Diceros bicornis minor: one gene and its partners. The protein of the gene in region 1 purifies or fractionates together with the protein of each later gene. This does not show direct contact. Links are inferred from orthologs where the notes say so. Each region holds a gene or a part of one and is shown in the gene's direction. Other genes may lie near its edges. The genes, in order: SNRPE, U2SURP, EAPP and CLNS1A.

Region 1 (7,288 bases):
GGTGTGTATGGTTATTGAGGTCACTGATTTGGGTTGGGAGCTCAAGGATGGTGGTCAAGAAAAAGCTGTGAGGAGAAGCCATTGGCATAGCAGCCACAAAATATTTTGGACTCTCATCCCTTGAAGAGGCTCAGATTAGAACATCATGAATTCTAACCATCATTAAACACTACTGGCTACGAGAGAGATGGGTTTAAGGCAAACCCTGCCCTTGAAATACTTAGAAAACATTTTTAAGAGAAAACTAACAAAAATGAAGTAGGTGCAAGTATTAAGTGGATGGTGCTATAGAAGGAATGAGTGAGCAATCAGTGAGTTTGAGACTGGTTAGGGAAGGATTCCTTGAGGTGTCAGAGCTGGAGTTTTGTGTAGCTTAGCAAAGGAGATAATCTGAGCTGCAAACAAGGCCAAATTGAACAGATAAAGTTTGTTTTTAATGACCTCTGACCATCCCATTGGTACTCCCTCCGGGTCTCTGCCTTGTCTCATTCTTGCTCTCAACTATTCGTGGCTGAGGTATAACTGATCTTTTAAAAAAGAAAGAAGGATCTATTCTAAATGCAAATCTGAATCACTTTGCTTCGTAAGACTCTCCAGTGCCGTTCCCTTCCCTCCAAAATTAAATTCAAGACCCTTAGCATAGCATGTAAGCCCTGCCTACCAGCCTCCTGTCTGGCCACTGACGCTTCATGCTCTTCACTCCAGCAAAACTACTGGCTGTTGACTTCCCTCATACGCTAATCTCTAGCCCTTTGCCTTTGTTAATGCTGTCTTCTACCTAAAAATCTCTTTCTTTTCCTCTTTTCTTTTGGCTAACTCCTACACATTCTGTGACTTCCAAGCTACCTCTCCCTACACCCTGCAATCCCTCTCCTCAAACAGGTTTGGTGCCTGTCAGCTAGGCATGTAATTTCTGTTTACTCTCATTGTTTGAAAATTGTTTATCTGTCCATCTTCCTCAGCAGAGTATCAACTCCTTGAGACAGAGACTCTTACTAAGTTATATAGTCAGCACCTAGTACAGGCCTGGCACATGGAAGGTGTATGAGTCTGCTAGGGCTGCCATAACAAAATACCACAGATTGGGTGGCTTAAACAACAGAAACTTAGTTTCCTACAGTTCTGGTGGCTAGAAGTCCAAGATCCAGGTGTTGGCAAGTTTGGTTTCTTTTGAGGCCTCTCTGGCTTGCAGATGGCTGCCTTCTCAATATCCTCAAATGGTCTTTCCTCTGCATGCATGTATCTGTGTTTTAATCTTCTATAAGGATACCAATCACCTTGGATTAGGGTCCACCCATATGACCTCATTTAACCTTAATTACCTCTTTAAGGGCGTATCTCCAAATACAGTCACATTCTAAGGTACTGGGGGGTTAGAGCTTCAACATATGAGTTTGGGGGGGTACAATTCAGCCCATAACACAAGGTATTCAATAAACATTTGCTGAGTGAATGAAAAAGTTCTTGACCCATTTCAGGGGCTGCTGATCTTTGCTACACTGCCCCTGTCTTCCCAGCCCCATTCTTTGGTGTGCTTCTAATCAATCACAGCCATTCAGCAAGTTGTGAGGCTTCTGGATGAGACGGAAGGAACTTCAAGCTGAAAGGAAGGATGTTCTTCAATATTTGGGAGGTCTGGAGGTGACTCTTATCGCAGGGTGTACCTCTTTGGACCAGTGATTCTCCAGCCTATTTTGCAGAGACCTTGGGAGTGTCATGAAAATCTCAAATTTTACAAGAACATTATGATTAGTTGCAATAAAAAAAGGAAACAAATATTTCATAGTACTTTCCACTATTTCATGAATTTATTCAATTGGTGCTATATTCATCCACATTTCAAAATTCAAAATGTACATGAGGCTTTAGTAAAAATCCTCCCTCCTACTCCTGCCCCAGCTACTGAGTTCTCCAAAACCAATGTTGTTAGTTTCTCAGGGATTCTTCCAGAGATACTTCAGGCATATATAAGCAAGTATACTTCCATACAATATCATGTATAAAACACATGATATTCTGCACCTTTTTTATTATGAATAGTTTTAAATTATGAATTACAAATTTACGACAAATCCTGTTTCATCTAAACCCACACCAACTGTCCATCCCCTACTCTGGGCCCCATGGCTGGGACCAGGGTGAGGTAAGCCAGATGCCTGAGCACAATTTAAGGAGGTGCTCACTCGGGGTTGTACTTGCACATGTGAGTGTGATTCCTCAAATTTTGCTCCTTAGGCTTGCCCCATCCCCTGCTGGCTCCACTGGATTATTTGGAAGTAAATCTCAGATGCATCACAGCTTGTTTTTTCTTACTATATATTGGATATCATATCAGGAGACAAAGAGCTTCTTAATCTTGATTATAGTTGCATAGTATTACACTATATGAATATGCAGTAATTGAGCCAGTCCCTGTTGATAGACATTTAGGTTGTTTCCTGTCTTGGTATTTTAAACAATGCTGCGATGATTACATTATGTCACACATGTAAGTTTATCTGTAGGATTAAATACCTAGAAGTGGAGTTTAATAATTTACATTACCACCACTTTTTGATCTTTGCCAACCTAATGGGGGAAAATGGTTTCTCAGCATAGTGTAGTTTGCATTTCTCTTTTAATGAGAGCAGTTGGGCATCTTTTTGTATGTTTGAGGACTATTTTATTTCCTTTGCTATAAACTGATTGTTCACAACCATTGCCAATTTTTATTTTCAGTCTTTATGTCAGATTAAAAATATATCATGTACTTAGATTAAAAAAACTAACCTAAGTTGTTCTAGAGTTTAATGTAATCACAGTAAAAATACCAAAAGTTTTTTAAATTAGATAAACTAATTCTAAAGTTTGTAAGAAAAATAAGAATAGCTAGGAAAATTCTACCTACTTCTAGTCCTACCAAATAAGAAAACTAATTATAAAGATACAATACTGTACTCATAACAGTGATACTGGTCCACAGACACAAAGATCAATTGAACAAAATATAAACTATGTACATACACATACACTGGTATATTATAAACGTGGAATTTTAAATTGAATGGGGAACAATGGGTTATTTTTTTGTAATGGTGACGGACAACTGGGTAGCCATCTAGAAATCATAAAGTTGTATCAGTTCTAGGATACATTGGGATCAATTCTGGATGGATCAAAGATTTAAATTTAAAAGATTAAATTTAAAATCATTAAAAAAAAAAGCAAATCACTTCTCATGAGTTGTATATATGACCTATCAGTCAAATGATTGGTTATAGGGATCAATCCCCAAAAGTTTAGGAATCACGACTTCAGAAACAGACAGGAAAACGCAAAAACGAGTAGCAAGGTCTTCACACCTGCGATGGGCTGGGCAGGGCAGTGTGCGATCCGAGCTGTCTGAACCCTGCACATCTCCAGTTCACTCTGGCCCCACACTCTCCACTGGGTTTGGGGCGGGGGACTTTTTTTGAGAAATAATTACTCCACTGTCTCCTAGCTCTTCATAGGTTAAAAATCACGTTCGTACGCTTTGACCTCAACCCCTTCACGAGGTCGGCATCCCTCTTTCCTCACTGAACGTCCGCCCCTCCTCTAAGGGGCGCCCTGAGCCAGGGCCTCAGCTCTGAGCGAGCGTCTTCATCCATGAAACGCGGGTTCCAGCTGACCAGGACCCCGCCTCCCGCCGGCCCCCGGACGCGGTGTGCGGACCACGCACGCGCGCTCCCGCTGCCCCGACTCGCCCGGGGCGAGTGTCCGCCCGTCTGGGGACAGCTGGGCTGAGGCCGGCGGGCCGAGGGACCCGCCCGTGTCCTCCCGGTCGGGGCGGGTGGAGCCCGGAGTCAGGGTCCGGGCCCCCACGCACACGGCCGCGCCCCTCGTCCCCCCACCTCACGGGGCCCACGACGGCGCAGCCACGGCGTCCGCCTCCGGACAGTGCCAGGTGCGCCCCGAGCCCGCCGCCCGCCCCTCCGCACCACAGCGCGGCCGTCACCTTCGGTTCCAGGCGGACAGGCCTAGGAAAGCACAAACCAACCCATTCCACAGGCGGAGGGCCGCCTGGGCCGCCTACCTCTCTCGGCCGACTCAAACCGAGCCGCCGCCTCCAGGTGGCGCTGTAGGACCGGCCCACGTTCCAAAGCGCCATTCCCCTCAGTCGGGCCTCCCCCGGATGCTGTAGAGCACCGAGAAAAGCGAGCCCCCCGGCTAGAGAGGCATTTCCCAGGAGCCTCCCCGGTCGCCGCGCGGGGACCATACACTTGCTTTTCCGGTTCCTTATTCCGGAAGTTGCTCTGAGGCGGCGTGCGCGTTCGTGTGGCCTTTGTCCGCTTTCACCATGGCGTACCGCGGCCAGGGCCAGAAGGTGCAGAAGGTGATGGTGCAGCCCATCGTATCCTCCGCGGACGGCAGGGCTGGGGGGTCGGGCCGGAAAACGGGGCGAAGAGCGGACGGCAGGCCGGAGGGCGCGGGCCGCGGCCACCTCCCGTGAGCCCGCGGGCGGGCGGCCGAGCCGGAGGAGGCGCGGGAGTCGAGCACCGTGCCGGGGGAGCGGGAGCCGCGGGGAGACGGCTGCGGGAGTCCTGGTGAGGGCGGGGGCCGGCGTCCCGCGGAGTGAGAGGGCGCGCCTTCGAGGGCCGGGGGCGGCGCCTGTGTCGTGCAGGCGGCAGAGCTCGCGCTCGGAAGACGACCAGGGGACGGTGGGCTAGGGTTGACTCGCTCAGGGGCCAGAGCCTGTGCTGTGCGTGTACTTCTTCCTTAACCGCGGGTGCAGAACCTCATCTTCAGATACTTGCAAAACGTACGTAAGTCGTTAGTTTCGTAGTTTTCTTTGAGTAAAGAGTGAATTTATTTGGCTGTGTCATTCTGTCTGATCACTGTGTTCTAGAGTTAAAAATAGGTGGAAACTGTGGAGATTGGAGGGGCATTTGAGGGGAAAGGGTACAGGGAAAGCTCTAATGTAGTAAAATGGTGTGTAGCCATGCCAGCTCCAAGCATCAGAGAATCGTGTCATCGTTACTTTGCAAGACCGAGATTACTAATTTCAAAAAGTAATTATTGGCAGACGTGTCAGTGGTATTTGGATATTGGTAGTGGTTATGGCCAGGGCATTGGAACCTTTCCCTCTTCTTTCCCCTAGGGTGAGACGTCGGAAGAAAACTCCAGTCAGCTTTAAACCACGTCATAAGGTGGTGTGTTTAGTACCTGGAGGAAAACTTAAACATAAAAAAGACAGTAAAAAAAGAGAGAGGAGGGATAGATTCAGGCGGTTTAGTGGCAGCCTGCTTTCTTTTGGGAGGATTTTTAGCACCTCAGATTTTGAGTTGGCAGGGCAGAGTGTTTAAATTATTTCTGAGGGAAAATGTAGTTCCTGTTGCTCTTACAAATTTTAGCGTGACAATACAATTGGAAAACATTAATTTCAAGCCATTGTAATTTTTAATCACCAGAATTGAGAGTCCCTCCCTTGATTGTTAGGTGTAAGGCATGGAAAACCAAGAACCTAGAGAAAGCTGTTTTGGAGCTGGATTTTCTTATAGCAGGTGAGAAAGAAGCACTTGGTCATTAGAAATTCCTGCTTTGTGCGATACTGTCACCAACTTTCAATTGAAATGTATTGAGAATAGAAGCAGTAAGAAATGTGATTGAGTTCCAAGATCACAGGGAAATTATTAACTTAGTCCCAATGCAGCATTTATTAAGTGAGAATGTTTTTTGGCAAGTAACTAGTCTTAGTTACCAGTTCTTAGGTATGTGTTAAGTGGTTAAAACTCTTGACTTGAAATTTTTGAAGTTTCTTTAGGAGCCTTGTTTCTCTGTTGTTTGACCAAAGTGATTGGATTATGTTTATTTTTTAACATTTTTATTTTTATGATTATTTCAGAGATCTCGGATTCAGGTGTGGCTTTACGAGCAAGTGAATATGCGGATAGAGGGCTGTATCATTGTGAGTACCCAGGACATTTACTACCCAGTTAGTTCACAGAAAAAGATTTTGCAGAAAAGGCCAGCCAGAGCAATGTACAGAAAGTCCAAGACCCAACCCAAGGAAAGTTTTTTAGGGCCCACTATCCTTGTCTCATTGTTCTACTCATTGTTAGGAATTGGGTAATTCAAAAAAGAGAGGGAAAATTAATTTTTAAAATTAATTTTATTTTAAAAATTTAAAATAATTTTAAAAATTATTTAAACAACAGTGTTAGTATTCAAAGGAGAGGACAAAAGAAATAAAATTGAGGGGGGCGGTGAGGATTAATGGAGTGTTAGTTTTGGGTTAGGTGATACCTCAATAGAGCTTGGTGGGGTTAGTTAAATAAGACTCCCAGGATGGCAGAGTACCCTAAATAATGTTTTAAAGAAGGGTAAAATATGGTTGAAAGTATTATGTTCAGACACTTTGGTTTTCCGTTTAGACTTGTAGATTCCATCAATATAATCTCCCCTTCCCTGTTTACTAGTTGGAAAGCAGGCGTGGTGGTTAGTGGTGTTAGTGTTTTGTGGGGAGCATGGGAAGAACGGTGCAGTAGATGTTAATTCACATATGTAGGCGTGTACTCGACCTTGGGCAGCTTATAAAAGGTAGAGAGAATGGCTCTTTGGCATAACTAATGAGATCTTAGTCCAAAAGGTTACAGAAGTAACTTGGAGTACATGCTGGCTTTCTTTGTTATTTAAGGAGAGGCTTAGGGTGGGAGGTGGTGTTCAGCTGAAAGATCAGTGTAGCGGTGAATTTCTGAAGTTGGTTGGCATTTCTGTACCTCCATAAGTGTGTTCTTGTAGAATGGTTTGGATGTGATCTTACTTGAAGATGACAGTCATCAATTGGCTTATTTTTCTAGGGTTTTGATGAGTATATGAACCTCGTATTAGATGATGCAGAAGAGATTCATTCTAAAACAAAGTCAAGAAAACAACTCGGTAAGAATATAGATGCCTTATAGAATTGTAGAAATTTGTATTCACTGGTACAGTTGAATGACTTGCAACTCAGTTCATGTTTAAATTTAGTTTGTATTTGAGAAGTTATTATTTGGGGGAGTAGTACACACTTGGAATCATGCTCTGCCACTTATTCCTTACCCCACTCCATTTCTCCTGCCTGTCCACTCAGTTCTCACCAAGGTCACCGAAGACTAATGGTGTTTAATGGTCAATATTAGTCCTTATGTTATTGAATTCTAAACAGCATTTGGCACTGTTGGCCACTCCCTCCTTAAAAACTGTTCCCTTGGCATTATGATACTATGCTTAGGTTTTCAGTGTTCATCTCTAGTTACTCCTTTTCAGACTTTTGTATATTCAGTCTTTG
Region 2 (7,877 bases), on another chromosome or scaffold:
TCTTTGGCATATCACTAGGGTCCCCGAGTTTTCTATGAGAATTTAAAATTCTATATTTTCAGTTCCATGGTTAGCTAAAAAATGAATATGTAATTCAACTTACAACCCAAAAGTCAGCCACATCCTCATAAGAACACTAAAAGCATTCTCACTAAAGTCAGGAATAAGACAAGGATATCCATTAGCACCACTCTTACTTAATGTTATTTTGGAGGTACTGGCTAATGCTATCACACAAGAGAAAAACAAAAGATATATTAAAAAATATGGGAGAAGAGGAGGTAAACGTGTAGTTATTTGCAAATGATATGATCGTATACCTGAAATTCCAAGAGAAAAAACTGAAAAACTACACAAATAAAAGAATTCAGCAAGGTGGCTGGGTATAACATTAATGTATAGTAATAAATATAAAACACTAATTACTTAGGACAGATATAAATAATGGAAAAACTTATTCTATTTGTAGTAACAACAGAAAAGAGAAAACAACTAAGAATTAAGGTAACAAGAAATATGCAAAGTCGATGTGAAGGAAAGAGAACAAAACTTGAAAAAGAAGAAAGCTATGCCATGTTTTTTGACAGAAATTTCACATTATCATTACCATGACAGCCGTGTCAAAATAAAGCCTTCTGTGTTTAAGACCACTGCAGTTGGACTTCTGTTACTGGCAACCAAATGAAATTGATAAGAGAAATAGTTTTGTTTCATTTTCTTGTCATAACTTCATTCTCCACCTAGCCTTTTATATTATCTGGTCTTGTCTCAAGAGTTTTAATCTTCATGGGGATACATAGGCTCCCCACTGGCAGAAGGCAGGTCATAGATTAAGTGAGGCCTGATCTCTGGGTAGTCCAAGCCACGCCCAACTTTGGACTGCCACGCCATGGCATGTGGGGACTCCCTTGGAGATGTTGCCCTCTGCCAATTGCCATGGGCATCTTCAGTCTTTCTTTGTCTCACACGCACATACACACACACACACACACACACACACACACACACACTCATTTAGGACCACCCATTTCCACAATACTCCATCTGGACCATCCTAGGTTTTAATATCTTGTTGATATAATAATTGCTACATAGTAAGGGTAATCTTCTAACCAGGATCATAGCTAAAATAGCAATTTTTATTATTTTCAACATGTCACCAGCCCATTCTTGGGCTATGTGCTTTTTGACACCATTTTTACATATCTTTTACCTCCTGGGCATTTGTAGTTTTAAACAATGCCACCGCTAATTATTATTGTCAAAGGAATTCTAGATATCATCAGTAGATAAGTCGGGTATTTTTGTTTTGGTGAGGAGGGAAGAAAAGGGAGAAGCTGCTATTGCCACTAAAATGACTTGTCAGGCTAGCGTGGTGCGGTGGTGTGGGGCGGGCAATCGACTTCATTAGAAAGAATCTTCCATTCCACACACACCACACCCTCCTTGAAGGCTGTTCCCTATTTCTAGAAGCCGCTAGGATCCCTCTTAGCGGAAGAGCTCAGTCTGATTTTTAGCTTTCCCTCCCTCCCTCCTTATCTTCTTTCTTCAGAGCTTGGCACATGCTAGAAATTCAATAACTGCCAAACCAACAAATGGATGAGACTGTGCTTTCACCAACCTCTATCCTGAAGCCTAGAGAGCAGGGAGAAGCTGCTTAAAAACTCTCTAGAATGAGAGTGCCACCAAGTAGGAGCAGTCCATTGGCACAGTACAGGAGATTTTAGCTTTGGGCAATCATTTTTAAGGTCTCTCTCTCTCATTGTGTATATTGTTAAATGCTGCTTTTGTTTCAGCCTCTTCACTCCACCTTTTTTTCCTCTTATTTTAAAAGAAATTAAAACATTTGGGAGGCCTCTAAAATTACGGTGGGCCCTAGGCAATGAGCCTTCGGTTCCTAATGGATAAGGCAGTTCTCTTTGGTGCCTGGGGGACTGATTGTTCAATGTGTTGATCATCACCCCTGGTAAGACTTAAATTCTACAAGAGATGTAGAAAACTCAAATGCTTCCCAGCAGGCGGGGTGTGGGGCATTTGTCCACTGTGTGTGTGGTGAAGGCCCTTCCAGAGAGGTCACTGTGACTCACCTCCACTGGACTGTTGCCAGACTTCCCCATTTTTCAAGAAAAACTGGAAATCCTGAGTATAAAAAAGTAAAATCTCTCAATTTTAAAATACTAGCCAAATCAAAGAAAAAAATTTCCCTGCTTGAGTCAAACAAAATACCTCTGTGGTCTGCATCTGGCACTACTTGGTAATCTCTGCTGAACACAGCTGCAGGGAGGACCCTCAAAAACTGGTGACATGTGGCGGACTAGAGAAGCAACACATCAGGGAGAGAAAAATGGCATGGTTTTAGTGTGATTGTAAAAAAGTTAAACTAACTGTGGTAAATTGTATGATTTTCTTGCTATTTATGTGTAGTCCCTTGGGAATAGTTATTGTGAATCTAATTAAAAATCTCAGATTCTGTAAAATTCCATTTGTACTATATTCATGCTATCTCATCCTCCTTAATTTTTGGTTTGAGTAATAGGGCCAAGATTTCATGACTTATACGTATTAAGGAGAACTCTGCTCATAACCTTGATTGTGAGTTTCTAAAAGTGTATTTAATTAGGTCTTAATAAAGCCCTATGTATGACTGGTAGTCAGGTCACGTTTGTCTGACTTCCTTTGGGGTTTTAGCGTATGAAAAAGAAGAGAGGGAAGAAGTCTGTGTTCCTTTATTTTTAGCTCTTTAGGGGTAAACATTTAGTAAAAAGTATTTTTATGAGAAGTAGGACTTTAGGGATTTGAATGAAAAGCATGCATATATTCACTTTACAGTGACAGTCAGCCTGCAGCATTGCTAGCACGGACAAGGCACAGCCAATCCTCCTCCTTCCTTCATCTCAGCTGATGGTTTCACTTTCTAATCCTAGATTGTAAACAGACAACTAAGATCCAGTGTGATGAGCATCCGGAGTGGGAAAGTATAGGTTCCTATGGAAACAGAAGCAGAGTCTCTAACTTAGGCTTGGTGGAGTAGGGAGGTCTGAAAGTCCTCTTGGAGGAAGTGACATCTTCAACAAGAGTAGAAAATTGATTAGCCTTCAGAGGCCAGGACAAGGGTGGGAGAAAAGGCCCAGAATTGAAAAAGTGTGACAAGATCTGAGACTGGAAACAAATTCAATTGGACTGGAGGTTGCAAAGCATCATTCCATTTTAATTTCAACGCATAGCACTTGTCACTTTCTGATCATTTCTTGTTTGTTTGCTTACTTATCGTGTGTTCTTCTACCCCATCCTCTCACACAGAACAGACCCCCTACCTGCTGATTCTTCAGTGCCTGCCACATATGACTATTAATCTTCCCTGAGGGCCTGCCACGTGTCAGATCCTGCTTAAGTGCTTCCCTCACCACCATCCCAACCTCCCCTTCCCTGCCCTCCCACCAGCCAACAGACAAAATTTTACTTCTTTAGAGTTGGCTCAAATGCTTCCTTCTCTGTGAAACCTCCCCCATCTCATTACCCAACCCTACCCTCAGAATTAATTACTTCTTCAGAGTTCCCACAGCTATCGATCCTTCCTTGCAGGATCAATTTAATTCTGCATAGTGTTATTTCCCTTGTTTGTCTCCCCCATTCTGCATTAAATAATTTGATTTAAAAACACATTGATTTTAAATCAAATGTGTTTTTATTTGTCTGTAAGTCTCTCAACACTTTGGGCAGGCTTTTATACACAAAATGGGGCTCAAAAATATTTTGAATAAATGAATTAGAGAGAGAAGGTTATGAACCCTTCTTCTTTCTTCCTTCCCCAAGTCCCCAGAGCAACCTTTTAAAACTTCAAATCTGACCACATCAAAGCCCTACTTAACCCTGTTGAAGGCCACTCTTCATTCTCTGAGTTCTAACTCATAAGCACACTGGTAACCTCAGGGCTCGTGTGATCTTGCTCCCATCCACCTCTCCAGCCACGTCCCTCCCTACACCTGGTCTAATAAAACCTGACTGCTTATGGTGCCTGCAGAGTGGGCTGTACGGACCCATGCCATCAAGCTTTTATTCCAACTACTCCCTCTGCCTGGAATGCCTTTCCATTATCCTTGCCTGGCTCGGTTCAGGCATGACCTTCTCAAGTAAGCTTTCCTTCTTTGAAGACAGATCCTATTAAGAACTTTAAAAAAGTTCTAAGTACAGAAAAGTGTGCGGTGCTCCCCTCCATTTACGTGTTTAAAAATGAAAACAATACTAAACTGTAAAACGTAATTCTTAAACGATACATAACTTACGCGTTTGCTAGATTTAGAAAGCCACCTATTTATGATTTTCTCATTCACCCTCTCTCTGCAGGTACCCATTTTGTAGATGCCCCAAACAAGAGTCTATCGGATCTCCCCACTGCCGGAATCTCAGGCTGAGTCAAATACTCCTCTCCGCTTGCCGGGCACAACTCTATCTTACAGTGACTGGAGCAGATGGCAAGTTTGCCCTTTTCACCAGGGCGTGAGCTCCCGAGGCGGCGCAAACACCGTCTTTGTCCCTGGAGAGCCGGACCCTCCAGTTGGCTCCAGACTTATCTTCGGAGTTGAAAAGCTTCCCCCCAGCTGACCAGTGCATTTCTTCTTTAACGACCCGTTCCCTCCTCGCCCAGGAAAGAAAACTGGCTCACCCCCATCAAGAGTTGGCGCTGGGAAAAGAGTGAAGTATCAGCGGCCCCCCAAAGTCAGGACGACGACATTCTCTAACTTCCCGGGTCCAGGAACCGAACCAACAACCGAGACACCCACGGAAACCAAGGGAGTGGGCGTGGCCTGGGAAGGACTGACCCCGGAAGTCACGTGGCGCAGCGCCGCTCGAATCCCTCATCTCCGCAGTCGACTATTCAGCCTTGCAGGCGCCTCCGGCGGGCTCCGCTGAGATCCGCTCTTTCGGCGCTCGACTCGCCCGTGCTGCTGTCGCCGCCGAAGGAGGGGCAAAGCGCAAGATGGCGGACAAAACGCCAGGCGGATCTCAGAAGGCCAGTTCAAAGGTAATTTCTTAGAGGACTTCGTAAGTCAGTGAGTCTGTCACTGTCGTGTGGGGTCTACTGACGCTTCTGGCCAGCGGGAGGAGGTTGGGGTGGGCGTCCGCGTTCCGGTCGCGGCGGTCGGCCGGGGCGCCGCCGCACGGTGGTGCGCAGGTTGAGAGGCCTGGTGTCTCCCCTTCGTCCCGGCCTGGATTCGGCTCGAGACCGGCGGGCCCGGGGGGTGGGGTGGTGGCGTGAGGAGTTCGGCCCGCGCTCGGCACTGGAGTGAAATCGGGGATTTAGATCGAGGCCCGGAGCCGTGAAAACGCGCCCGTGTGTCTCGGCTTATTGCGCCCTGGGGCCGCCGGACAGCGCCGGGGAGAGGCGGGAATCGCTCCCTGGTGCTCATGGGTCTGTCTGTCTGTCCTCGGTTCTTTGGTTTTGGATCTCACAAGCTTCCGGCCTCTCTCGATTTCCCTCACGCCCTCCAGGGAATAAATAACCTCTGGGGCCGCGAGTTGAGAGGCAGGGACCAGTGGCGGAGGGACGCGGGGTGGGAAGTGCAGAGGCGGGAGCAGCGCTCCTTTGCGGTGCTGCATCGCCAAGGTTAATACTGTGCTCTCCACGTGGTCTCACCTCGCTTGAGAGCAAGCGTAAAGCGGGCTCTTGTTTTGAGGGCTCATTTTCGAGGACTCCTGCGTCTCTATGTTGCGTGTTCCACTGAAAGGAGAACTTCCGTGGACTTGGAAGCCACCTAAAATTAGCAAATTGCTTTTGCGTTTACAGGGAACTGTGTGCACGTATTGTGAAACCATTGAGCTGTAGAAGTAGTTTAGTGTTAGTTAGTTGTGGTTACTATCAGGTCTTAGTTGCTATCTTGGGCGGGTCATTTAATCCTTTTTTGCCCTGTTTCTCATCTCGAACACGAGATTAAAAGTAATAGATACTGTCCGAAGTAGGTGTTAAGCTTTTTCATGCAGATGCAGGAAGTTTTGTGACACCTAAACAGGGACTGTTACATCTTAAAGAGTGTGTATGATTATAAGTCGGTTCTTAGGAAGTTAAGTTTACCGTAGAAGGGGCGAGTCTTGCGTTTATAGTTTGTTCTGAGAAACATAACTCATTTTATATTTGCTTTTTCAGTTTCTAATAAATCATAATTTGTACGCCGTTTGGTGAATGATATTCATAATTAGTTCGTAGTTAGTAATGGCTTTATCAGACATCCTTTAGTTATGTAGAAACTATGGTTCAAGGCCAGTTTTGGCTGCTTTACATCCTGTGTCTGCTCTTTGTTAGTTTCTTCCCTCCCCAGTACATTTCCCCTTGAGGAGGAGGGGAATAGTTGGGTACCTCTCTCTGCCCACTTCCCCTCAACAGACTCATGACAAAAACAGCCCTGCTTACTATTAGGGAACTATTACAAAAGCTAACTACATCCATAATAATTGACGCACAAGCTTCACAACTTTTGTTTCTTCTCAAAGTAATATTTTAAGTATCTCCTATTTGAGGCCTTGGATACATTGAAAACCTTTTAATATATGTGTTGTCTTCCTTCTTTAGTACTTCTCATGGTTGTGTGTGGCTGTTCTCTATAAGTGAATTGTTGGGTCTTGCAGTAATCTTTTCAGTTTATATTGCTTTAGATTATCATCAGTTGATGCTATTAAGAGATTTCCTGGGCCGGCCGGTGGCGCAAGCGGTTAAGTGCGTGTGCTCCGCTGCGGCGGCCCGGGGTTCGCTGGTTCAGATCCCGGGCGCGCACCGACGCACCGCTTGGCAAGCCATACTGTGGCGGCGTCCCATATAAAGTGGAGGAAGATGGGCACGGATGTTAGCCCAGGGCCAGTCTTCCTCAGCAAAAAAAAAAGAGGAGGATGGCAGATGCTAGCTCATGCCTGATCTTCCTCACACACACACAAAAAAGAGATTTCCTACTGATATCTGTAAAAAGAGAATATCTCAGGACTCAAATGGTATTGACGTGACTTTCTCCATTAATATGGAGGATACATGATGCAGTAGAAAGATTATGGATTTTGATAACAAACGAGATTTGGATTCAAGTTCTGACTTGGCAATTAATTATATTTGTGATATTAAGGCAAATTGCTTAAACTCTTGAGCCTCAGTTACCTCATTTATAATATGGATATAATCCCTTTTTTACAGGATTGTTATAAGGATTAAATGAGTTAGTGTCTTAGTTTCTTTCCCTTCTCCTTTTTGTTTATAGAGGAAATAAAAAGTACTTTTCAAAATATCAGGATAAATTCTAATCTTGAGATTTAGAATCGAAGTCATCAACTATCATAATGACTGCCCAGATTGTTGTTTATTTCTAACACAGGTCCAGAAATTATTGAATAGAGTCTTAAGATGATTTTGACTAATACTACAGTATTTGGAATTTCTAGCCTTTGATCTCTGTGATTTGATTTCCCTTCCTCTGAGGAGAGCAGATGAATGACATATTCTACTGTACAGATGGAGTGAACAGATTCTTCTGTTTCGTGTTCATTCTTCTTCTTTGGTAATTAAATCCTCATTGATATAGGTAGGGATGCTTGTTAATCATATTTCTAGACACCGAGGAAAGTGTTAATTTTAAAATGTGCAATATACAAGATTTTTGCCATTGACAATGGCAATATTATTTGACGTGTCTTAATTATAAAATAGATTAGATAACCTCTACCGTTTCCTCTAGCTTTAAAAATTACATTTAATGTATTTATAGCCAGATGACTTACTTTTATGAGTAGCTGTCCCCGATGAAGAGAGGCCGGGCCCTTTTATTTTCTGTGTAATTTTGCTGTACTTTTCATTTTAAGGCCTGGCAAATGTAGAAATTCAGTAAATGCTTTAGGAATGA
Region 3 (6,929 bases), on another chromosome or scaffold:
CCCACCACGCCCACCCGGACCACGACCCTGGCGGCGTTCGGATCTCCACACGCAGGACGCCGCGGCCCGGCCAAGCGGGACCAGCAGCCTCTGCGCGCACGGTCATCTGCATACGCCACGCCCCTGTCGTGACGTCCGCTGCGTCCCGTCTCCCGCTCGGGGATACGGGACCTACGAATCCCCACCGGAGACCCGACGAGTCCGGGACCTGGAGGGGACGCCCGGGAAGACCGGATCTCGCGGCGCCGGCGCCCGGCAGCTGAGGGCCCCCTGGGGGCGGGTCAGGGCTCGGGTCTGGTCTCGCCTTCCTTTCAGCAAAAAGGAAGTTTCAGCGCATTTTGTCCTTGCCCGGCCGACCGAACTCATTCTCCCTGGACACGATTATTATGAGGGCAGCCCCCCCCCATTAAACATCTAAGTACTGATATTTCCCCAAGCAACTCCACAGGGATCGTTTTCCCATGGCGCCATCCTCAGTAAGCCTGTCATAAACTACATCACATGAACTGCCTCAACATACACAACAACTAAACCTAGGGAAATCTAAAGGAAAAAAAAGTCAAGGTTCTAAGCTTGAAGAAAGAAAACCAGGGCAAAGTACAAATTTCATCCACTGTGCAAATTGTGCAGTGGTGGAGTTAAGTATATAATACTAGTAAATAGAAAAGTATTTTATTTTATTTATTTTTTTTGAGGAAGATCAGCCCTGAGCTAACATCCATGCTAATCTTCCTCTTTTTGCTGAGGAAGACCTGCTCTGAGCTAACATCTATTGCCAATCCTCCTCCTCTTTTTCCCCAAAGCCCCAGTAGATAGTTGTATGTCATAGTTGCATCCTTCTAGTTGCGGCCACAGCATGGCCGGAGAAGCGGTGCGTCAGTGAGCGCCCGGGATCCGAACCCAGGCTGCCAGTAGCAGAGCGGGAGCACTTAACCGCCAAGCTACGGGGCCAGCCCCTAGAAAAGTATTTTAAAACACTTAAAAAATTTGTAAATATACTGTTATGTTTTACAGTAAGTTCATGATATCTGAAATATTCCATTTAATCTGTTCATGTCTCCTTTTGTTTTTAGATAGTGAGGCCAACACAATTTTTTAGACAGTAAACACAACTTTTCTATCTCTGCTACTCTGCCCATTGAGGGGTGGAGTCTGTCTCCTCCCCTGGAATCTGGACTTAGTGACTAGCTTGACCAATAGAATGTGGCAGAAGTGATGTTCAGAGAATTCTGAGGCTAGGTCAGAAGAAGCCTTGTAGCTTCCATCTGGGTCTCTGGGAACCCTCTCCGCCAGACTTGAGCTGCTATCTAAGAAGGCTGACTACTCTGGGGCTGCCATATTGTACGGAAGCCCAAGGCTTTGTGGAGAAGGATGCATGAAAAGAGAGATGCTCAGTGAGTCCCCAGCAGTTTCAGTCCTAAACTGAGACCCCAGAGTAATCCCTGCCAAAACTGCAGATTTGTGATGAAATTAGATGATTGTTTTTGTTTCAAAGCTCTTAAATTTTGGGGTGGTGTTTTTGTGCAGCAATAGAGAAATGGAACAGGAAGAAAGAAATAAGCAAACAAGTAACATGAATCAGAAGGGGAAAAATGTGGATTAAAGGATAGAGAAGATGGGATGGAGAGAAGGGGTTGGGGTTGCGGGCTTAAAGTTTTTGATAAGGGGGTCAGGGAAAGCTCTCTGCTTCTCTCTGTTACACACTTGTGCTTTTCTTTGCTTGCTCATCATCAACACATATAACCCCTAAACAGCCATCCTAAAATGGCAGCCTCAGCTCCTGAGTTTACTTGTCCTGTTACAAGTCCTAGGACCACAGCCAACTCTTTAGAATCTGTAACTCTTACTTTTAAGTTTATGGGAGTAAGTAGGTAAGTAATGGCCCAACTTTCATGGAGCAGAATGATTATGGATATAAGGGCATATCCCTGAGGAGGGCCACAATTCCCAGAAAAGGAAAAATGGATTCCCCAACAGGTGTCCCCTTCACATCACTGTGACTCATGGAAGAGTACTGTACCTCTCAAAAGAGTTGGGTGGAACAATAGTTGAAAACCAGAGAAACACATGGCACGTGTGAGTGGTACCTTATCCTACAAGAGTTCAAAGCAGAGAAAGATCCCATGTAGAGAGAGAATCTGAAAAGGCATCATAGAAAAGGTACAGTGTGAGTTCCCAGAACTATGGCATCTCATGGCTGAAAGGTATCCTAAAGGGTCATTCTATATATTTATTGACCCATCCATTGCTTGCAGAAGGATCTTGAGGTAGGGTTTGGATGGTGGAATTAGAAGTAGGAGAGGGTGGGGGGGCTGGCCAGGTGGCATAGTGGTTGGGTTTGCACACTCCGCTTTGGCGGCCCAGGGTCCACAGATTCGGATCCCGGGTGCAGACCTATGCACCACTTATCAAGCCATGCTGTGGTAGGCGTCCCACATATAAAGTAGAGGAAGATGGGCACGGTTGTTAGCCCAGGGCCAATCTTCCTCAGCAAAAAGAGGAGGATTGGCAACAGATGTTAGCTCGGGGCTAATCTTCCTCACCAAAAAAAAAAAAAAAAGTAGCAGAGAGTGCTTCAGGGAATAGCATAAGCAAAAGCCTAGTGGTGGAAGGCATAACGCATATTCTCGAATCAGCAAATTGTGCTGGATATCTGTAGGGATGGCATGATGCATTGAACTATATTGTGGAGGGCCAAGAATATTGCAGAATAAGGCGAACAGATCAGCCAGCGAAGGTGAAATATTGGGACATTTTAGGAAGGAAGTCATCCAGAGCAAAAGCTGTGCTGGAAGAGCGTTACTCTGCCAGTAGAGAGTAGCATGGATTGCAGAGGGAACAAAAGCAAAGTAAGGCTGTCAGTTAGGAGCCTGTATCAATAGTCAAAGTGAGGGGTGGGGAGATGGGAGGTGGGTGAGAGAGGTATTGCTAAGAGATCTACAGGACTTGGGAATTGAGGGCTCATGGAGGGACAGAGAAGGAGTCAACCAAGATTCCAAGACTTTCAGCCTATGGCAGTTGTAAGGATGGAGGAAGTGACATACGCAGAAATCAGAAGTCAAAAGTAGTTATTGGCTGAGATATAGGAACGGGGTGGAAGATGGTGAGTGTGGTCTGGGCTACGTTGACTTTGAATTGCCGGTGGTGCAGCAGGCGGAGTTACCTAGCCAGGCGATTGGAAATCCAACCTGGTACCGGAGGAGAAGGCAAGGACCACATAAGACGGGGCAGTCACCTGATTGGGATCATGCAGAGGGAAGAATTGTCCGGAAGGAGGCAGGAACTTGAGTGTAGGCCAATACAGAAACAGGGGAGGAAACGGTCTCACAATCGGGAAGCTGTCATCGGCTTCACCTCGAGTATCGAGTGGAATCGGATAAAGGCTGAGCAAAGGTTGGGACTGAGGAGAGGCCAAGAAAATGCAATTAGGAAGTAACTGGTGGCAACCTAGCAACTTTCCGGTAGACAGTTGGGGCTGAAGTCAGACTGAGGAGAACAGGGTGAGCCCGAGGCAGCCGCGCAGTGACAAAAAAAGAAAAGCTTGAGGCGAGGAGGTTGGAGGGACATCGGGTGCTAGTGTCTGGGGACCCACTGGCCCGGACTTCAGGCTGCATGTCTCTCAGCATCTAGATTTCTGCTTCTTCACGTCACGGCGGGAGACAATGCACTTGGAGCGTTCATCTCAGAGACTGCCATTTACGAAGGTGCCAATTACTATTTCCGGTAATAGGGTAGCCGTTTCCAGGTGAGCAGAAGCCTCGGAGGGCAGTGTCGAGACACGGGGACCCGCCCCCTCTCCCCGCCCCCTCGTTGGGACGATCTGCGCAGGCGCGCAGGGAGGGCGCGGAAGTGCGGGCGGAAGTGAAGTGCGGTCGGAAGTGAAGTGCGGTCGGAAGTGAAGTGCGGTCGGAGGTGGAGTCCGGAACGCTTTAGGGAAGGGACCTGCGGCGTAAACAGATGCTTTGCCGACGCCTGTAGACCGTGTCGGAGGGCGCAGGCCATCATGAACCGGCTCCAAGATGACTATGACCCCTACGCAATTGAAGAGCCTAGCGACGAGGAGCCGGCTTTGAGCAGGTGGGCCCCTGCCCCGTTCTTGCCCCGAGGCTTCGGGCCGAGGCCAGGCCTTAGTCTCCTCCCCTCCCTGCGCCTGCCGCGCTCGTGTGGACCCTCGGCCCGGCGGTTGTCGCGCCCCGCTGTCCCCTGTGGGACGCCGAGGGGGCTTCTGGTGAGGTCGCGCAGCCACGGGGGAGGCGGGGCTGACACCCGCTTGGGGAAGAGGGATATTCTGGAATTCTGCGTTTGTCTTCAAAAGCCGTGAGATCGAATCCTGCCTCTGCAGCTTACTAGCAGTGTGACTGAAGGCAAGTCAGTTATCCTCGATTTCTCATCTGTAAAGAGGAAATATAATAACTATATCGGAAGTATGTTGTGAGGTTACGGGACTTAATGTGAAGTGACCATCTTGAAGACTAAACTGCCGTAAACAGAAATAAGGGACTATTTAACAGACGTTTTCTGAGCACCTGTTAAATGCTTGCTCTGGGCTACAGAGGTCAGTCCTAAGATATTTGTCTTTTACAGGTTTCCAGTACAGTAGGGGAAATAAGGTATATGTTTCGGAAATAAGCATGTATCTCAGAAGAGTGTTGTAGAAAACTATGACCTGAGATAGGCACAGATGAAGTTCCATGGGAATTTCCAGAAGGGAGGGATTAATCCTACCTGGGGGAAACTTGGGATTATGTTGGCAAGAAATTTGCAGGCAAATTAAGCCATTTTTTAAGTTGTCAGCAGATTCTATTCATAAACTTTAAAATATTCTATCCGACTAAGCTTTCTGTGAAACTGTCCTTCCTTTAGCCACAATGTTTCCTCATACTATCCTGGGGAGGGTTGTAGGCATGAGAGAGCAAACTGCTGTGGAGATTTCTGTGGTGGGAAGTGAGGATGGGTTCCAGGATACCCTGTGAAAAAGCGTTTCAGTTAATGAGTCCCGTCTGTAAAGGAGGTATATGTAGGCCTCTTGGAATATAGCCGTGTTTCCTGGACTTGAGTTATTCCCCCACTTACCATCTCCATAGTCACCCGGGTTATTATTTATTTAATATTTTTCTTTAAATCAGTTTACATTTTTGTAGTTAAGTTTCTTTGAGGAAGCTTTATAATCCTGTGACGGTTGTCACTGGTAAGGTAACTATAAAAATAAATGCTGTGAGGGCTGGCTGGGGGGTGCAGCGGTTAAGTTCACGCATTCTGCTTCGGCGTCCTAGGGTTTCCTGGCTTGGATCCTGGGAGTGGACCTACTCACTGCTCATCAAGCCTTGCTGAGGCAGCGTCCCACATAGAAGAACTAGAAGGACCTATAACTAGAATATACAGTTATGTACTGGGGGCTTTGGGGAGGGAAAAAAAGAAGAAAAGAGGAAGATGGGCAACAGATGTTAGCTCAGGGCCACTCTTTCTCAAAAGAAGAAAAAAGAAAAGAAAAGCTGTTAAAAAAAGACTACGAAAACAAAACTGTTATTAATGTTGCCTGCTCAAGGCTCTAAATCAAATGCTTGTTGTTTTGAAAAGGGAGATTGGTGTTAGAGAGATGTTTAAGAGATGTCGGTCAGCATTTGATTTTACCCTACTTATAAGCTAATATTTTATAGCCTGTTACTGTTTCATGGAAGCTGGCAGAAGACATGAGACTCGTGGGTCAGAGACAACTCACAGCACAGCAAGCAGCATGAGCATCATGTTTGTGTTGCTCGCTGTTAGTTCCCAAGTCTTACAGGGGTTACCCGGAGAGGCCCAGATGGATGCTACACATTCAGTGGGTTGGCATCGAGGCTCAGGACCACTTGAGCTTGGAGAATCCACCTCTTTTACAGCAGGCAGTAAATAAGCCTGCTCTCTGTCTTGGAAAGAGACATTGCCTCATCCCTCAAGGTTGTTCACTGCAAACGCAGGCCTGGGTGAAGAGTGATCAGAACCTTGCATTCTTGGCATACTCAACAGGAATGTGCAGGGCCCGTGATGTATTGCTTCGCCCAGCGGTGCTAAGTGCTGAGATTTCTGTTGAAATAATCACAAGGATTGAAGAAAATTTGAGAAAAGTATAACTCTCTTGCCATGTGATTCAATTTTTTTTTAGTTAAACTTTTTATTTTGAGGTGGGTTCACATGCAGTTGTAAGAAATAATGCAGAGATTCTCTGTTCCCTTTACCCAGTTTCCCCCAGTGTTAACATACTGCAGAAGTACAGTACATATCACAGCTGGGATACTGACATTGATACAGTCAAGACACAGAACATCTCCATCACCATAAGGGTTCCTCATATTACCATTGTCCGCCCCTGTGCCCTCCTTAACCTCTGGTAACCACTAATCTATTCTCCATTTCTACAATTTTGTCATTTTCAAGAATATTATATAAATAGAATCATACAGTATATAACCTTGTGGGATTGGCTTTTTTCACTCGGCATAATTCTCTGGAGATTCATCCACATTGTTGAAGGTATCAATAGTTCATTCCTTTTTTATTGCTGAACAGTATTCTGTATTTGTTTAACCATTCATTCATTGAAGGACATCTGGTTGTTTCCAATTTTGACTATTGTGAATAAAGCTGCTATAAACATTCATGTATAGGTTTTTGTGTGAATTTAAGTTTTCATTTCTCTGGGATAAATGCCCAGGTGTGTGATTGCTGTGTTGTGTGGTAGTTGCCTGTTTCGTTTTATAAGAAACTGCCAAGCTGTTTTCCATAGTGGCTGTACCATTTTATATTCCCACTAGCAATGGCTTCATTGTTACTTAGTGGGCTGTCTGCCTGCCACTCCTTAAAATAATCTACATTCCACACTTTGGAACACTAGCATATTGGCTAAATCAATAAACTGGATAAATCTCAACCTTGGCAGCATTGACCTCTTA
Region 4 (7,623 bases), on another chromosome or scaffold:
ATGTCGTCATCTACAGCTATATATTTCCCTCTAAGCAATGCTTTAGCTGCATTCCATAAGTTTTGGTATTTTTTGTTTCCATTATTCTCAAAGTATTTTCTAATTTCTCTTTTGATTCTTGCTTTGATTCCATTGATTATTTAGGAATAGGTTGTTTAATGTCCATATATTTGTAGATTTCACAAATTTCCTTCTGTTATTGATTTCTAATTCCATTCCATTGTGGTCAGAGAATGTACTTTGTATGATTTCAATTCTTCTAAATGTATTGAGACTTGTTTCACGGTCTAACACATGTACTTAAGAAGAATGTGTATACTGCTCTTGTTGGGTGAAGTGTTCTATAGATTTCTGTCAGGTCTAGTGGGTTTACAGTATTAAAGTGTTGTTCAAACTTTCTATTTCCTTGTTGATCTTCTGCTTAGTTGTCCTATCAATTAATGAAAGTGGAGCTTAAGTCTCCAACTATTAATGTTGAATTGCATATTTCTCTCTTCATTCTGTCAGTTTCTGCTTTATGTATTTTGGGGCTCTATTATTAGGTGCATATATGTTTATAAAGGATTGACCCTTTTATCATTATATAATGTCATTCTTTGTCTCTAGTAACAATTTTTGTCTGAAAGTCTATTTGTCGGATATTAGTATACCAACTCCAGCTCACTTTTGGTTACTGTTTGTATGGTCTATCTTTTCCATCCTTTTACTTTTAACCTATTTATATCTTTGAATCTAAAGTATGTCTCTTGTAGACAGAATATATTTGGTCATGTTATTTATTCATTCTGCCAACCTCTGCCCTTTAACTGTAAAGCTTAATCTATTAGTCTTTAATGTAATTACTGCTGAGGTAGTATTTACATCTGCTATTTTGCTATTTTCTACATGTCTTTTTGTTCCTCTATTCCTATATTACTGCCTTATTTTGTGTTAAATGTATCTTTTCTACTGTAACATTTTAACTCACTTGTCATTTCTTTTATTATATATTTTTTATTTATTTTCTTAGTGGTTGGTCTCAGGATTATATTTAACATCTTAATTTATAACAAAGCAGTGTGAATTAATAATACATGATTACAATAGCATAGAAAGACTTTTTTCCTATATTGCACTGTCCTCCCCCTTTATGCTGTCATTGTACAAATTACAACTTTATACATTGTGTGTCCATCACCAGGGATTTATACTTATTGCTTTATATAGTTGTCTTTTAAATCAAATAGAAGGAAAAAAAAGGTTACAGACAATAAAATGTATTTATGCTTCCATTTATATTTACCTTGATAGTTACTTTCACTGGTTCTCTCTATTTCTTCATGTGGATTCAAGTTACTGTCTAGTGTCCTTTTCTTTCAGCCTGAAAAAATACCTTTAGTATTTTGTGTAGAGCAGGTCAACTAGGAAAGAATTCTCCATTTTAGTTTTTCTAGGAATGTCTTAATTTCTTTTTCATTTTTGAATGATAATTTTGCAGGATATAGAATTCTTGCTTGATTTTCTTTTTCTTTCAGCACTGAATGTGAATATGTCATCCTTCTGGCCTCCATGGTTTCTGATCAGCTGTTAATCTTATTAAAGATCCCTTATAAGTAATGAGTCACTTCCTTCTTGCTACTTTCAGGGTTCTCTTTACCTTTAGCTTTTGACAGTTTAACTATCATGAGTCTAGATGTAGATCTCTTTGAGTTTATCTATCCTACTTAAGAGTTTGTTGAGCTTAATTGCTAGTGTAGATTCATGTATTTCATCAAATTTGGGAGGTTTTCAGCCACTATTTCTTCAAATATTCTTTCTGCCCTTTTCTCTCTCCTCTCCTTCTAGGATTCCCATTATGCATATGATGGTGTCCCATGGGTTTCTTAGGCTCTGTCATTTTTATTCATTCCTTTTGCTTTCTGCTCCTCATACTAGATAATCTCCAAGTTTGCTGATTCTTATTTCTGCTGCTCAAATCTGCTGTTGAACTGCTCTAGTGAATTTTTCATTTCAGTTACTCTACCTTTCAGTTCCAGAATTTCCATTTGGTTCCTTTTTGTAATTTCTGTCTCTTTATTAATATTCTCATTTGGTCATATATTGTTTTCCTGATTTCCTTTAGGTCTTTGCCCATGTTTTCCTTTAGTTCTTTGATCCTGCTTAAGAAAGTTGTTTTAAAGTCTTTCTCCAGTAATTTCAATGTTTGGGCTTTCTCAGTGACAGTTTTCTTTTCTTTCTTTTTTTTTCTGTGAATGGGTCATACTTTTTTAAATTTCTTTGCATGCTTCATAAGTTTTTGTTTAAAACTGGACATTTTAAAAAATATAATGTAGCAACTCTGAAAATCAGATTCTCTCCCTCTGATTTTGTTTGTTGTTGCACCTGTGTGGTTGTTCTTGTTGGTTTTGTGACCCTTCTAAACTAATGTTGTAAAGTCTGCAGTTTTTGTGAAGTGTGGCCACTAAAGTTTCTACTTGGTTTAGTAGTGGTCAACTAATGATTGGACAGAAGTTTCTTTAAACATTATGATTTTTCAAGTCTCCTGTGGATCTGCAGAGTGAGGAATGGAACTAGGGTAAGTCAAATTGCCATGAAACTTGCTGGTCTTACTGAGATTCAGTTGTTTTTCTTGAATAAATGCTCCTTGGTTACATTTGGTTAATTTCAATAATTCTGTAAAAATCTTATTTTGACCATTTTTGCCAAAGTTTGTGTGGAGGAGTAAATTTTCAGATGTCCTTATTCTGCCATTTTTGTTAATGTCCTAGGCCTTTACTTTTAATAAATTATATCCACAATTATTCGATTCATTTTTTTTCACTTATATAACTTATTCAACACTTTTTTCAACTTATTGAACACTTTTATCAAATATTTTGGAATGCCTCATGTGTAACAGATAAGCTAAGTATTGGAGATGCAGGGCTCCAGAGGAGTTCCCAGTCTATTTGGGGAGATGAACAGGAATACGTTAGAAGGTAACATATGTCATGCATGAAGGAAGTACAGTGGGCCATAGGAGCCAAGTCATAAGCCCATAACCAAGACCAGGACTGACACGGGACTGAGAGTTGAGGGCAGTGTTCAGCTAGACACTTGAACAAAAGGCACCTTTATTTACAGATGCCTGTTTAATTCATACCAGTCATTATTAGCATCAATACTTGGCTGATAAAAAGGCCATCTGATAGGAACTTCCTCATCTTCCCACACTAATATTCTGCATCTGCCCCCGTCTTTTTCCCTTCCTACTTGACTTACTGAAGAGGTCTCCCCTGGACAAATACTACTTTACATAGGCTCAGAAGTATCATATTCCTCCTGAATTCTCCACGTTGGAGAAATGAGCCGGCATCCATTCAATCACTCAAGCTGGAAATCCTTTACTTCCCTTTCTTCTTCATTCATACTGATCTTCACCTTCACTACCATCTTGCCCTCAATCTATCTCCAGATTCAGAGGAGTTTGCCTTTGAAATAGGTCTAGAATCTGTCCCCATTTCCACCCTTACTGCCACTCTCTCATCTATACTATGGCAACAACTTCCTAATACTCTTTCTACTCAGAGGGCCCCTGCTCCAGTCTCACTATTAACAAACTAATCTCAGTTTAAAAATCGAACACTCCTCTAACTATTCAAAAGATAGAAGTAAAACTATTCCACATGTCCAGTCTTCCAGCCTCAACAGTCCTACAGCACACATATGATTATACTGATTTTACAGACAAGACAAGTGGCACCTAGAGAGACTGACTAACTTGAATTCCACTAGAATTCTCATGGCTAAACTCTTGGTCTTGAGTTGAATGCCTCAGACCTCTCATCTGTAAAACTGCATCAATAATAATAACTTTCTCATATAGTTGTCATAAAGAGGAAATGCAGAAATAATGCCGGTGAAGTGCCTAGAACAATGCCTGGCACATAACACTCGGTTACCTTTATCTACTATTATGATTATTTTTTAGGTTTTTATTGCTCTTATTACTTTGCTCTTCAGTGCCTAACGAAGAAATAAAGCAATAGTTCCAAATCTGGTGGACTAATTCTTACTGACGCAGGCAGCTCTTCACCCGGAGCTGACCTCTTTGGGCTCGTTTGCCCACAAGAGACGTGGGGATACGTGGCTCGGGCACGAGGGCGGTGTCAGGACCTAGACTGATGTCTGGGGCATGGCTGTTATGCTGAGACGTGAATAGGCCGGGATGAGGCTGGCCCAGGTGAGAAGAGCCGTCAACCCAGTCAAGAGACCTCTGACCTCTAGATGAGTGTGGTCTCTACTTCCTGTGCATCCTCAGGCAAGGGACTCCATGTCTCAGATATCTGTTTCCTCTTTTGTAGAAAAAGGAGTTTATTATTCCTTGTGCTTCCTCTCTCACAGGGTTGCTGTGACAACCCTGAAGTAGGACGTCGGGAAGAACCTTCCATTATTACAAGCCTGCAGCCTTAGAAATGGCAAAGGGGAGGGGAGTCACGTGACAAACTGGGCCAGGCCATCTCAGGCCTCCGAAAGCTTGCCCTAGAAGGTCTCGTCTCTATGGTGGCTGGCGCTCAAATTCCGGAGCAGACCAAGTTGCTTCCGGGGTAGTTGCCACCACTTCCGGGGCGGAACGCAGCGAGCTGGGTTTCCTGAGCTTCGGCTACCTCCTGGCGTGTGTGTCGGCGCACAGTGCTGCAATGAGCTTCCTCAAGAGTTTCCTCCCGCCCGGGTCGTCTGAGGGGCTCCGGCAGCAGCAGCCGGATACCGAGGCTGTGCTGAACGGGAAGGGCCTCGGCACCGGCACCCTGTACATCGCTGAGAGGTAGGGTCCCTGTCCCCGAGCGCCGGCCTTCTGCGCGCCGCTTTCCTCCTGCCGGCGCGGGCGGTGCGGAGGAGCGGGGGCGAGACCGCGACCTCGCGGCTGCTGGGAGGGGGCGCGCGTGCTCGGTGTCGCCTCGGGGATGCCTCTGCTGGGAGGAAAACTCGATTGTTCTAGTGTCCTCTCCTTCGGAGCCTGCCTTTCTCTCTTCTTCAGACGGAGTTCTCATTGATTATGGTTTTTACCCGCCTGTTTACCGGAGGTCTGGTGCGTGCGTTGTTCTTTACTCAAGCTTTTGTTTTAAGGTTCTGAACTTCCAGACCGTGAGTTGGAGTTATCGATGTGCCTGTCTTCTCCGATGAACAGGTGCGGGAAGTGTTACCCTGGGCGGGATACGTAGGCTTAGAGCAGGTTGTGGAGGATTTTGAAAGTTTGGTTAAGGAGTATAGATTTTCTTCTGTAGGTGTGGGTGGGGAGAGGAACACCCTCAACCCCACGCAGGCTGGGGTCATATCCAGAGCAACCTGACTCTCATTTCCCATTTCTGACTCCCATTTCCATTCAGCAGAAGGAATTGCCCTTTTATTGTCTACCTGCAGCACTTTGTACTTTCACAGTCAGATGGACATGGCCTAAATGTTGCAGTTGTAGAGCTAAGATCTCTGTTTCCTTGACATATGGTTCCATTCATCATCAAGCCAACAGTGACACAATGAATCCTTCCTGTCCTTCAGATCTGACTTCCCCTTCTGCTGCATCACTTTTGTCAACAGCCAGAGAAAATTTTTTTTTTAAGAGCTCATGTGATTACATTGAACGCACACAGATAATCCAAGATAATCTCCCTATTTTACTGGCAGTTGATTAGTGACCTTAATTAAATCCACAAAGCCCCTTTTGCCATGTAATGTAACATTCATAGGCTTAACACCAGGGAATGAAGGTCATGGGGGCCAAAATTCTGCCTACCACAGAGGGCACAAAAAAATGTAAAGAATCCTTGATTTATTTTTTCATTTTTAAGATTTTATTTATTTATTTTCCCCCCAAAGCCCCAGTAGATAGTTGTATGTCATAGCTGCACATCCTTCTAGTTGCTGTATGTGGGACGCGGCCTCAGTGTGGCCAGAGAAGCAGTGTGTCGGTGCGTGCCTGGGATCCGAACCCGGGCCACCAGCAGCGGAGCTCGTGCACTTAACCACTAAGCCACGGGGCCTACCCAGGAATCCTTGATTTAGAGAGAAATCTAGACATTGAGCAAAGCTTAGGCTTTTGGTCAGTCACTGAGATAGGAAACGTGGATGCGAGGAAAAACAAGTTTGAGGTGAGGAGCAGATAATGAGTTTGGTCTGGACATGTGTAGATTAGTCGGACATATGAGTGTGTATCTTGGGAGAATGGTATTAAAGATAGAGATTTGGAAATCATTAGTATAAGTGTTAGCATACTCATGGGAATAGATTATATTCCCCAGGAGAGAAGACGGCTAAGGATAGAAAGTTGGAGACATATCCACATTAAAAGGTAGGTTAGGGAAGAAGAGACTTGAGTAGAGAAATGAAGAAGGAGGAACCGTCAAATAAGGTAAAATCTGAAAAGCTTATGTTGGGTATTGACAATGAGATCTTGAATGATCTTGGGAGAGCAGTTTCTTTTAAGTGGTGGAGATTGAAGCACAAATATATTACTAGCCACTACACAATCCTGCAATCCCTTTTTCCTCCATGGTTTTTCTCTATATTGGCTCTTCTTTCTATAATACAACTCCTTTTTGGGTAAAATCCTATACTTGTTTTTTAATTTTGAAAAATTTCAAACCTAAAGAAAAGTTGCAAGTGTTGTTAATTAATACCCATAGACCCGTCACAAAGATTCATCAGCTGTTAACATTTTGCCACATTTATCTCTTTTTTTTCCTGAGCTATTTGAGAGTTGCAGACTTCACTTGTAAATAGTTTAGCAAAAATCTCCTAAGAACAAAGACATTCTCCTGTATAACCACAATACAGTTAGCACACTGAGGAAGTACAAACTCTTTTAAATTCTTGTTTTAAAAAAATTTTTATTTCAACTTTTCACTAACAAATATCTTACATTTCTTCCTTGAGAAAATATTTTTGAGGGGCCAGCCCCGTGGTGTAGTGGCTAAGTTTGGTGCGCTCCGCTTTGGTGGCCTGGGTTTTTGGGTTTGGATTCCAGGCACAGACCTATACCACTCATCAGCCATGCTAAGGTGGCAACCCACATATAAAGTGGAGGAAGATTGGCACAGATGTTAGCTTAGGGCTTATCTTCCTCAGCAAAAAAGAAAAAGGAATATTTTTGTAAAAAATACATATAGAAAAGAACATCAATTATATATGTAAAGTTTAAAGAATTGTAATTAAACTAACACCTGTATATCCACCATCCGGGTTAAGAATAGAATATTACCAGTACCTTGGACACCTCTGTGATCCCTCTGTACTCGTTATTACCTCCTTGGTCTCTTTCCCCTTTTTGTTTTTTCCCACCTAGCATTTCCAAGACTTGGTAGAATAAAGGTCTCAACAAACTGGGAAGGCTTCCTAGAGGATGTGACAAATGAGGATTAACAGTTAGCCAGGTGAATGAGGTGGGGCTGAGGGGATGCTCAGAGGCAAGGGTGAGAATTTGGATGTTGTGTATATATGTACAGTCATGCACCACATAACGACGCTTTGGTCAATGATGGACTGGATGTACAATGGTGGTACCATAGAGCCTAGGCATGTAGTAGGCTATACCATTTAGGTCTGTGTAAGTATCCTCTGTGATGTTCACACAACAAAATAGCCTAAGGATGCATTTGTTAGAACGTATTC

The links.
Region 2: the proteins of SNRPE (region 1) and U2SURP purify together in Homo sapiens (co-immunoprecipitation; 3 studies listed by BioGRID and IntAct, counting the BioPlex papers as one, with this or other methods). This does not show direct contact. The link is inferred for Diceros bicornis minor from reciprocal best matches to the Homo sapiens genes SNRPE and U2SURP.
Region 3: the proteins of SNRPE (region 1) and EAPP purify together in Homo sapiens (affinity purification with mass spectrometry; 3 studies listed by BioGRID and IntAct, counting the BioPlex papers as one, with this or other methods). This does not show direct contact. The link is inferred for Diceros bicornis minor from reciprocal best matches to the Homo sapiens genes SNRPE and EAPP.
Region 4: the proteins of SNRPE (region 1) and CLNS1A purify together in Homo sapiens (affinity purification with mass spectrometry; 5 studies listed by BioGRID and IntAct, counting the BioPlex papers as one, with this or other methods). This does not show direct contact. The link is inferred for Diceros bicornis minor from reciprocal best matches to the Homo sapiens genes SNRPE and CLNS1A.

What each region holds. Positions count from the first base shown.
Region 1 is NC_080743.1:101,799,414-101,806,701, reverse strand, and holds the start of SNRPE (small nuclear ribonucleoprotein E), read left to right. Parts: upstream 1-4,268; 5' UTR 4,269-4,318; coding exon 4,319-4,372; intron 4,373-4,753; coding exon 4,754-4,780; intron 4,781-5,863; coding exon 5,864-5,926; intron 5,927-6,818; coding exon 6,819-6,897; intron 6,898-7,288. UniProt on the Homo sapiens protein: Plays a role in pre-mRNA splicing as a core component of the spliceosomal U1, U2, U4 and U5 small nuclear ribonucleoproteins (snRNPs), the building blocks of the spliceosome.
Region 2 is NC_080741.1:10,942,035-10,949,911, reverse strand, and holds the start of U2SURP (U2 snRNP-associated SURP motif-containing protein), read left to right. Parts: upstream 1-4,869; 5' UTR 4,870-4,978; coding exon 4,979-5,023; intron 5,024-7,877.
Region 3 is NC_080744.1:14,754,513-14,761,441, forward strand, and holds the start of EAPP (E2F-associated phosphoprotein), read left to right. Parts: upstream 1-3,912; 5' UTR 3,913-4,003; coding exon 4,004-4,077; intron 4,078-6,929. UniProt on the Homo sapiens protein: May play an important role in the fine-tuning of both major E2F1 activities, the regulation of the cell-cycle and the induction of apoptosis. Promotes S-phase entry, and inhibits p14(ARP) expression.
Region 4 is NC_080746.1:53,769,098-53,776,720, forward strand, and holds the start of CLNS1A (methylosome subunit pICln), read left to right. Parts: upstream 1-4,606; 5' UTR 4,607-4,658; coding exon 4,659-4,783; intron 4,784-5,085; exon of another isoform or gene 5,086-5,120; coding exon of another isoform or gene 5,121-5,146; intron 5,147-7,623. UniProt on the Homo sapiens protein: Involved in both the assembly of spliceosomal snRNPs and the methylation of Sm proteins.